2 linked regions of the Schizosaccharomyces pombe genome follow. Changing the gene in region 1 together with any one later gene gives a genetic interaction. Each region holds a gene or a part of one and is shown in the gene's direction. Other genes may lie near its edges. The genes, in order: srk1 and pyp3.

What was found.
Region 2: of srk1 (region 1) and pyp3, extra expression of one rescues a mutant of the other (dosage rescue), as found in Schizosaccharomyces pombe (one study listed by BioGRID).

The regions. Positions count from the first base shown.
Region 1 is NC_003421.2:1,300,013-1,305,987, forward strand, and holds srk1 (MAPK-activated protein kinase Srk1), read left to right. Parts: upstream 1-1,924; 5' UTR 1,925-2,887; coding exon 2,888-2,899; intron 2,900-3,122; coding exon 3,123-4,853; 3' UTR 4,854-5,456; downstream 5,457-5,975. Other genes in the region: karyopherin/importin beta family nuclear import signal receptor Kap113, read left to right, coding at 13-174; protein mug150, read right to left, coding at 628-942. UniProt on the Schizosaccharomyces pombe protein: Delays the mitotic G2/M transition by promoting nuclear exclusion of cdc25. During osmotic stress, inhibits the G2/M transition in a sty1 stress-activated MAPK pathway-dependent manner.
Region 2 is NC_003424.3:5,296,717-5,300,911, forward strand, and holds pyp3 (protein tyrosine phosphatase Pyp3), read left to right. Parts: upstream 1-1,998; 5' UTR 1,999-2,121; coding exon 2,122-2,409; exon of another isoform or gene 2,410-2,514; coding exon 2,515-3,138; 3' UTR 3,139-3,473; downstream 3,474-4,195. Other genes in the region: Smc5-6 complex non-SMC subunit Nse6, read right to left, coding at 1-1,017; SPOM_SPAC11E3.10 (ER or Golgi multispanning membrane VanZ-like family protein), read left to right, coding at 4,066-4,127. UniProt on the Schizosaccharomyces pombe protein: Contributes to dephosphorylation of tyrosine 15 of cdc2.

The DNA.
Region 1 (5,975 bases):
CTTTTATTTTAGCTGCTTTTAAAGGATCCCGTTCATAGTGTTAACTCTCGCTCATTTTTTATTTCTGTATTTATGTTTTGCAGAGACGCTAATGGTGGAATGGAGAATTTTCAAAACCAATATTTATCGACGGTCAACCCAGCGTTGTTAGAACAGTTTCAATCCATGCTATAGGAAAAAAGAAGCAGTAAAAACAACATCATATTTCATGATAAAAAAGTTGGTGTTAATTTGTATATCTAAATTAAGCCAGTTGCTACGATTTTTGTTATACTGATTAAAATCCCAATTCAAGCTAACATGATGGATGGGAAATTTGGTTGAACTGCGGTTCAGAAGGAACAAAACTTACCTTTAAAAACCCTTCTAAAAAATTTCCTATGCGATTTCTTTAGCTGTCGCACGCTTTTTTCACTTATTCTAATACGACTCTGCCTTTCCTATCCGCCAATATCGTCTTAGCCAGTATATCCAAATTATAAGTATAAACATGAATACAGTAATAAGAGAACTGTTCATTCTTAGGTAGGCCTTTCTTATATAAACATATTCAGGTAAAATCAACATTAACTTTATATTCATTATGACTATTGAAGAAGCGATTCCTCAGCCTGTGCAAGCTGTCAGCTATATTTCCAAAGATTGGAATGATAACGTAATAAAACACAGTGATACGAAAAGAAACCATAGTAAAGAGGAATCATTGTAGAGAATCTCAGTAAAGTATGGAATCGCTATAAAGAGAAAATTGAACAGAGGAAAATCGCAGCAAAGAGATATGGTAGTACAAACAATCCATGCCTTATACAAAAGGTAAAGGTAATTCGACAGTACAATGATATTTTTTAAAAAAAACATGTTCTTTCTACTACAATTATTTGGCTTGTCACTTGAGGCAAAGACGGCGAAGCGTTTATCCATGATGATAAACAAGCTCGCCATCTCTATACTTAAGGGCTTGCATTGTATGGAAAGGGCGCAATTGCCGTGCCCTATAAGAAGAACTTTTGATTTTTCAAATGAATTTTAGATCTTGAAGTCAGGCGACAACAGCCAAAACATCATCTCATCTCATTCATTCAACAATGAGGAATGGGCGATTTTTCATCCAGCGTTTTTATCAGGTCAATTGCGTCGATCTCATTGTACACCAAGATGATGGATATGTAATGAAGCCAGCCAGTCGGCTTATGAAAATTTTGCTAATTATAAGAAATCAATTGCAAGTAACAGAAATGAGATGGATCGCTGCATCAACAAGGATAATGAGATAGACAGATAAAGTTTGTTGAAAATTTTCACGACAGAAGAAAATCACTCAACTAATCAACTCAAAATGGAATAACATGGAAATTTATTTCGCCAAACAGTGCAGAAGCCACTCAAAAGTGAAATGAGCAATGGAGGGGAGGAAGGAAAGATTGGTTGATTTGCTGTATCAGATGAAATTCATGGGTGAATGAAAAAGAAAAAAAGGTTTGCAAGAGGATGGATGAGTGAGATTGAAAAAATATTAGATCTCGAATAAATTCTTTCTATCCATCTTTCATAGTATACAATCGAAAACAAGATAGAACACATCCATGCCATCCATACTTCTATCTTTTTTTTTCTTTCTCTCTCTCTCTCTCCCCCCCTAGCATTCCTCCAACAACCTCTTTATAAACGATATCCTCTTCTCTTCCCTTCCTACACCAATATCCTCCTATTTTGTCTCTGATGTCATGCTGACCTCCACCCACTTTACACTTTTACCTCGCCATTGCACCGTGTCGCTTACCGCAAAACCTCATCGAGTCATGGATGCGCAACGTCACCACCATCGTAAGCGAATACAGAGTTGGAACGAGCGGCTCGCATGATGCCAATGACGTACGTTAACGAAGGACGTCAAAGTAGGCAAATCCGCCGACATAAACTTCTTGTCTTTCGCATACCACGATTGTTGGACACCAACAATATATTTCTGTGAAAATCAATTGAAAAGCTAATTTAGTAATTTTTTGGAGACTATTGGAAGGGTACCCAGTATTGGAAAGTTATATGATTCTTAAAAATGTACGTTTGTAAATGTTTGCTCACTCGTTCGTGTGGGTAATGTTTGAGTCGGATTTTTGTTTGGATTGTGGATGTAAACGCGGATATTAGAGGCTGGAGATGAGTATCGGAAAGACTTTGCGTTTGGAGAGTGTTGTTGACGTTACACTTCCTACCTTTGGACTGGGTTGGGGATAGGGATCTTAGGAGAGATAAGTGGACGAATGAATTAGGACGGTTGGACAATATCGAGTCTTGGAAGATTACTGAATTCTAATAAAAAAAAAAGAAAAGCAAGAAGCGATTTTTTTCTTTTGTGTTTTTATTTCATTTTTATTTTCTTTCCAAGTCTGTGACTAGTTTTTTGGACTTTTTTTTGGATTTTTTTTTTCTTCTACGTCAGGTGCTTTCATACGGAGATTTGCTCTTTCCTTGATGATCAGTTTTGATTTCATCTTTACCTTATTCTATATCACGTCTCCTTCCCCTTCTGCTAGGCGGTGATTGTATGCTTGACTTCATTCTCTACATCATTCAGGTGACGGGTTTCGCTTTCAAGTCGTTAAGTTAAATTTGGCGGATGCGCAAGTGTATCTTTTTTTTCATTCTTTTTGTGCGAAATTCCTTTTTTTTTTCTTTTTTTTTTCTTTTTTCTATCATCTTGTCTCTCTGTTATCTTGGTTTAGTTCAAGAGTACGGATGCGGATAGATCAGTGTCAAGAATTTGGAAGCAAATGTGTTGGCACATTTCCAGACGTAAAACCAAACGACTAGAGATCTTTAATTAGTTATTTTTCTAATAATACCCATATCTCTTGATTGATTCCGTTTGTCGCCGTCTGTTCAAATAATGCGTTTTAAAGTATGTTTGAATTACCAAAAGCATAACCATAACCATGCCTATTGATTATACTCCCATCCTTTCCATTCCATCCCTCTTCTCAGTAGGAAACATCAATCTCACCGCACTTCTTTTACGCATACAATGTGTTTTGGTTTTGTTTTCTTCCAACCACCTTTATCCATAAACACATTTCCCTTTTACTTTTTTTTTGTTTTTTGTTATGCTAATTTAATTTATTTAGAGTATTCAGCAAAATATCGAGGACGAGGGCAAGGTGAACGTTCGCGAAGTGAATCCCGATTCCTATGCTGAACGGGACCATGGCTATACTGCTGGCATATTTTCGGATGCTGAAGAAAATTTTGGCATAACTCAGCAAGTAGCGGACTCCACTCAAAATCCCACCTCGAAACCCAAGTCCCGGCATGCACATTTCCACGAGACGGTGCACGAGAATCCTTCCGAATATTCGCGCTCCAAATGTAAACAACCTACCAACGAAAAAGAATATGATAAAGCCATCGAGGCTTTAGTTGCAAAGGCCATTGTTGAGGAACATTCCGGCCAACAATTTCCTGTATATAAAGGCCTTGAACAATACACTCTATTACAAAAGATGGGCGATGGTGCTTTTAGTAATGTATACAAAGCTATTCACAACAGAACGGGTGAAAAAGTCGCCATTAAAGTTGTCCAGCGCGCTCAACCAAACACCGATCCTCGCGATCCCAGAAAAAGACAAGGCGTTGAATCGCACAACATTTTAAAAGAGGTTCAAATCATGCGTCGCGTTAAACATCCTAACATCATTCAACTCTTGGAATTCATCCAAACCCCGGAATACTATTACCTGGTTTTAGAGCTGGCTGACGGTGGTGAATTATTTCATCAAATCGTTCGCCTCACCTATTTTTCCGAAGATTTGTCTCGTCATGTCATAACTCAAGTTGCACATGCCATTCGATATCTGCATGAAGACTGCGGTGTCGTTCATCGTGATATCAAACCTGAAAACCTGCTTTTTGATTCTATCGACTTTGTGCCCTCTCGGGTTCGTAAATACCGTGCCGGAGACGATCCCGATAAGGTAGACGAGGGCGAGTTTATTCCCGGTGTCGGCGCTGGCACCATCGGTCGAATCCGTCTCGCAGATTTCGGTCTAAGCAAAGTGGTTTGGGACTCTCACACTCAAACTCCGTGTGGCACTATGGGCTATACAGCCCCTGAGATTGTCCGTGATGAAAGGTATTCTAAGGGAGTTGATATGTGGGCTTTGGGATGCGTATTGTACACTATTCTTTGTGGATTCCCCCCGTTTTATGATGAAAGCATTTCTTTGTTGACGAAAAAAGTCTCACGAGGCGAGTATTCATTCCTTTCTCCTTGGTGGGATGATATTTCAAAGAGTGCAAAGGATTTAATCAGTCATTTATTAACTGTCGACCCGGAATCTCGTTACGACATTCATCAATTTTTAGCCCATCCATGGATTTCGGGCTCTCGGGAACCTACCTTTCCTGCCACCGATGCTCCTAACACTGCTCAACGCGAAAACCCATTTACCTATGACTTTCTTGAGCCCGAAGACGTTGCTGCTGCCGGTTCAGCCGCTCGTACTCCTGGTGTTAACTCGTTGAGAGAAGTATTTAATATTTCGTATGCAGCCCACCGAATGGAACAAGAGAAGATTAGGAAACGTGGTCAACGTGGTAACCAAGGAATCATGAATTTTATGGGTGACATGGATGATTTGATGGAGGAGAATGATGATTACGATGATGGTACCAAGAGCGTTGAACATTCGATGAAACGAGTCAACCTGTCAGGTGAAAACGATCCTAGCCTTGCTTCCCGCCAACCTGCTCAATCGCAACAACAATCATCTCAAAGGTCGCGGAATAAGTTCAAAGGTTTCCAACTCAACTTGTCAAAGGCAACTTTGTATAATCGTCGACATCGACAAAAAGTGTAACACAGACGTCTAACTTCGATTACTTTTCTTTTTTATCCAAATCAGTTGCTTTTAAATGCGATTCAGTAATGCTGATTTTTCGACACTACTACTTTGTTGTATTCTTCCTGTTTTGAATGTTTACTATTTATGAGTTATTTACCTTAAAATTTATCTTCAATCTTTTTAAAACTATCCACTCTGTTAATCAATTGACGCTTACTCAGTGACGAATATGTTCTAATAGTTGGGATTTATTCCAATACTTTCAATTTATTGTTACCTTAAATTTTCTTTATGATAGAACCATACGAATTATATGATGCTCAACAACTATTCTTAGGACTGAGATGTTCAAAAAGATGGAAACTAGTTATGCATTCTTTTAATGAAACCGTTGTTTAAATTAAAATTTTCAAGGGGTGAAATTGGAATATGGTTATTTTCAACTTTGCATATGACATGGCTTCCCAAAAGTTTCGATATTGTACTTATTTACGTACTGTGTAACCGCGATCTCTTGATTCTTTTTAGCTTGAAAGAAGAGATTGAAATATTACCAGGCCTGTCTTTTAATGACAAGGACGTTTAATGCTGTTAGATAATACCATTAATGATTTACGCATTTTTTTGTCAGTGTGTGCCAAAAAAAGCCATTTGCTCTTTGTCACGTTGTTTTTAAAGAATCTATCAATGACTGCTAGTCGTTTTGATTTGAGTAGATAGAATTTTGTGCAATATTCGCTTGATCCTGTATATATTCCAATAGTTTAGGCATGAAGGTTCTGTAGTGTTTTGTCGATGATGTTGAAGTGAAATTGATGATAAATAAATGTATTAAATAATGTTCGTTGGACGGCGTGTATTATTTGGCCAAAACGGATAGGAAGTTGCTGACCATTGTTTAAGCTATTGCTTTTTTTAAACAATGTGTAGGTAAGTTACAGCGCACGGATAATAAATATCTGTTGCTTTCTCGTTTCTCGTAAGCATTATGCCTATAAAATTCACGCATCAGTTGCACGATCAAGACCACTGTTGCATAATTGACTCGCAGAATGTCGTTCGATCAATATTGGTGAGAGAATCATAAGAACAAACATGGTACAGTAAACTTTTTATGTTATTTTTTAGATAAACTTT
Region 2 (4,195 bases), on another chromosome or scaffold:
TCTAGGACTTTCAGACACCTTATGAATATTACTGATCAAAAAATCTGGATTCAATGATATTGGAAGTTCCATGAATTGAGAAAATTGCCATTTACAAAATGAGCCCACTTGATTGTCAATTAAGATTCGACATGCATCCTGAATCATTTCAAAGCGAACAGTGTCGTCGGAGAACCGATACAAAGTTCCACAGCATTTTAGGAAATTAATTACCTTAATTTTCAAATTGCTTTTTAAATTTTCTGAGGCTGACGTACGTTCCAACTGGATTGGTACCTGTCGTTTCGCTAAATCAATGCCAATCATATCTGCAGTAGTCTCAAAAATAAATCGTACAATTTGGTTGAGATTATTAGAGCTGCTTTTATAGCTATAAAAAATCTTTTCTAGGTTAGCAATCCATTCAGAGCATGTTGTGTCTCCTAAAGAGCGGAAAAATTGCAAGCTGCATATTGACAATGCAATATCTAAGGGGACCAATTTTGCCGATAATAAATCACCAAAAGTTGTTGGTATAATTCCTTCATTAAACTCCAAATCGTTATCTTTCAAGCATTCTGCTTTCAGGGTGTTCCAGTCTGGAACACGAGCTTTTGAATTGCTACAATATTCGTACCTAAGGTCGTCATCATAAATAGGGTTAGAACGTAGAACATTCAAAACATTTGATCCAACACTTTTTCCTATTAATTCATCAATTTCATCTCCCGTTTGAAAGGTTTGAGTGCTGTCATATTGCAATAAATTTTGTACTGCTAATTTTCTTCTTTTTGCAACCGAATCGTCAATTGTAGCAGTACTAGAAAGAAGATCAATATTCCATCTGTATGTAGATGAATTAGAAGAATCATTTTTCAAATACTGTTTTCGCGATTGGGCTCTTGCCGAAGGCACCAAAGAAGAGATATCAGGAAGCTCGTCCAACTCTTCAGAATCATCACTATCAAGTATGTGGTCAATTAATTTTGAAGAATTATCTAAATCAGGAAATTTTGAAATGTTATTAGACGCATTCATAGAACTATACCAGCAAAGACACTTTTGATGTGCTTTGGTAAAAGGGTGGATGGATATATAACAAAAATTATGAAATAGTAAATAGTGGAAAGTAAACGTTTATAATTTAATTATATAGCATTATAGTTTGACGACGATTGTTTTTTTGTTGTTTATAGTCTCATTTCATCCAATTTGAGCATTCCAAGCAAATAATATTAAACATCGAGTAAATTATTGATTTTCTTATTAAATGAATAATTTGTTAGTTTATAGCATTTCAACTGCTATTACCGGAGAAATCATAAACATATCCAAGCTGGCTTCGTTGATGTTTACATATGACTTTTCTTAAGCGAACATTCAAAAAAAAAGAATAGAAAAAACCTGTCATAAGCTTTTGTTAACAATTAATGATTTTTACTAATTCTGAGTTAAAGTTATTGGAAACCTTAGAAGAAAGAACACCTAAAACCAATTTAGGCACGTTTTCATTCAAAGAAATCTTTACAAATTACATTAAAACCAAAGAAGCCAAGTAAGGGAGTCAAACGAGTCAAACACAACTCCTAAAGAACAATGGCGACATTCAAACAGGCATTTAATGAAACAATTGCTGAGCAAGTATTATAATACTTGGCCTTATATAAGAAACGTCAAAACTTTTCTCTACACTTTAAATATTTTTGTTTTTGAAAGTAAAAGTATAGCAGATCGATTAAGTCCTTGGAGAGAACATAAGTGCGTTTAAATCATTTTATTCACTATCATCAATACAGTTGTTTACAACCTATAAAAGTATCCCACATATAGCTTGTTCTTCATACTACCGGCTTCGTAAAGGTTCGAGTTACCCCCACATAGACATTCGCAAATACTCTGGGCCTAGTCCTACGAAGTGAATGTGAACGTGAACTAGATTACGACTACAACTAGAAACTAGCGCTATGTGGGGGCCGTACAATGATGATTTATTAAACAATTATACTTCTCTTTTTTACTGACTTCTGTCATGGTTTTAGGAATCATTTAAAGTCGTTTAGTAGAAATTATTCTTTCTTTTTGATAGACACAAAAAAATACTTCGGTGAGAAGTTTAAAAGCGAATAAACGCAAAAAATCAATATGTCTTTTAAAGAAGTATCTACAGAAAATGGTGTTCTAACACCCTTGATCACAATAAAAGAAAAAGCGTACATGATTATTGAGGGACTCAATGAGGAAGAGATAGAGCTGTTAAATACTAGGTTGCCAAAGCTAAGTAAGAAAGCGCTGGCTAGAAACCGATACTCCAACATAGTCCCTTATGAAAATACTCGTGTTCGTTTAGATCCAATGTGGAAAGAAGCATGTGATTACATTAATGCTTCCATAGTAAAAATCCCTTCTGGGAAAACATTTATCGCTACTCAGGTTAGGAATAAAAAGAAATTGCGGGATTGTAAACGGCTTTGGCCTTTTTTCTTTTCATCATTTTTTGTAACATAATTACTAACTTAGTCTTCTTTATTTATATAGGGTCCAACGTCGAACAGTATTGATGTTTTTTGGAAGATGGTCTGGCAATCTGTGCCAAAATCAGGCATCATCGTTATGCTTACCAAATTGAGGGAACGCCATCGTCTGAAATGTGATATCTATTGGCCAGTGGAACTGTTTGAGACACTTAATATCGGTGATTTAAGCGTTATTTTGGTAAAAGTTTATACTTTGACATCATTAAATGAAGTTCAAGTTCGTGAATTTGAGCTGAACAAGGACGGGGTCAAGAAAAAAATTTTGCATTTTTACTATAACGGTTGGCCTGACTTTGGTGCACCACATACCTTCTCACTACTATCACTGACTCGCTATATAAAAAGTCTCTCATATTCTCCGGACTTTGAAACAGCACCCATTATAGTCCATTGTTCAGCGGGTTGTGGCAGAACGGGAACTTTCATGGCGTTATTTGAGATTTTATCTCAAACAGATGACTCTACTTCAACTTCGAAATTTGAGGTGGATAATATCGCAAATATAGTTTCCAGTCTTCGGTCACAAAGAATGCAATCTGTTCAATCGGTCGATCAGCTTGTTTTTCTTTATACAGTATCTCAAGAGCTGCTTCAAGGGAAGGAATTTCTTCTTCCTCAGTTATAGCCTTTGGTTTAGAGTTTGCTGATAGTCGATTCGATGTTAAAAACTCGTCTCATGAATTTTCGAATTAACATTATATTATTTATAAGAGGATCTTCTTTTTTTTATTCAAAATTTATTTTATTTGTCTAGCACGTTTTATTTCTTTGATATCCAGTTTTTGGACCGCTAATGATTAAAAATGATTTCAATTACTTTATATGGCACTATTTCTTTAGAGACCTATAAAATGATCAATAAAACGTAAATATGAATACTATTTTTATTTTTTATCTTATCGAAGGTTCAAAAGTCATCTATTGTTATAATTCGTAATGACAAACACAACTATCTCCAAAATATTATAGGTCGTCAATGTTTGTAGCAGTTCATCCTTTGTGATTCATTTATAGATTTTTTATACAAGGCGCTTTTAATTTATTAAAGAATTTACAATAATTTGCTGCATGGAATAAAATTGACAAAGAAGTAACCACGAATTTAAATGTTCATCGCAAAAAAGTTGAATGAACGCTTTGGCAATTCTTTTAATTTTCTTGACCACGTACCATTTGACGTGCAAACTATTAGTACTTTGGCATATAGTGAAGCTGGGTATCTGTGGTTATTGATATTAATACTGTTTAGTACATATAAAAACCTTGTCAAGTATGAAATTCAACTTTCCCATTTATTCCATTACATATCATATAAATTGCTATAAAAATAATAAACAAACAATAAACTTCGTTTAAGGTACTGAATTAAAAGTGCTATTCGGTAAGTTTAGTCGCTTGTTGGTCGATACTACGATCCGCTAAGCCCAACAAGGCTGGTTCAGAGGAAGTAGCTTCTTTAACCGTACTACCCACTACTTCTATTACAGACAGTCGTTTTCACTGTTTTTTTCCATAAAGTTGTTGATTGAATGCAATTATTAAATTCAAAAAAATGATGCTCCCATCCTATTTACATTTTGCTATACGCAAAAAGGTCTTGGCGATATTCATAGTGTAAGTAAATCAGGAAGTGCAGCTTGCAAGATTAAAATCATTCTTTACGATTCACATCTCTCTAACCA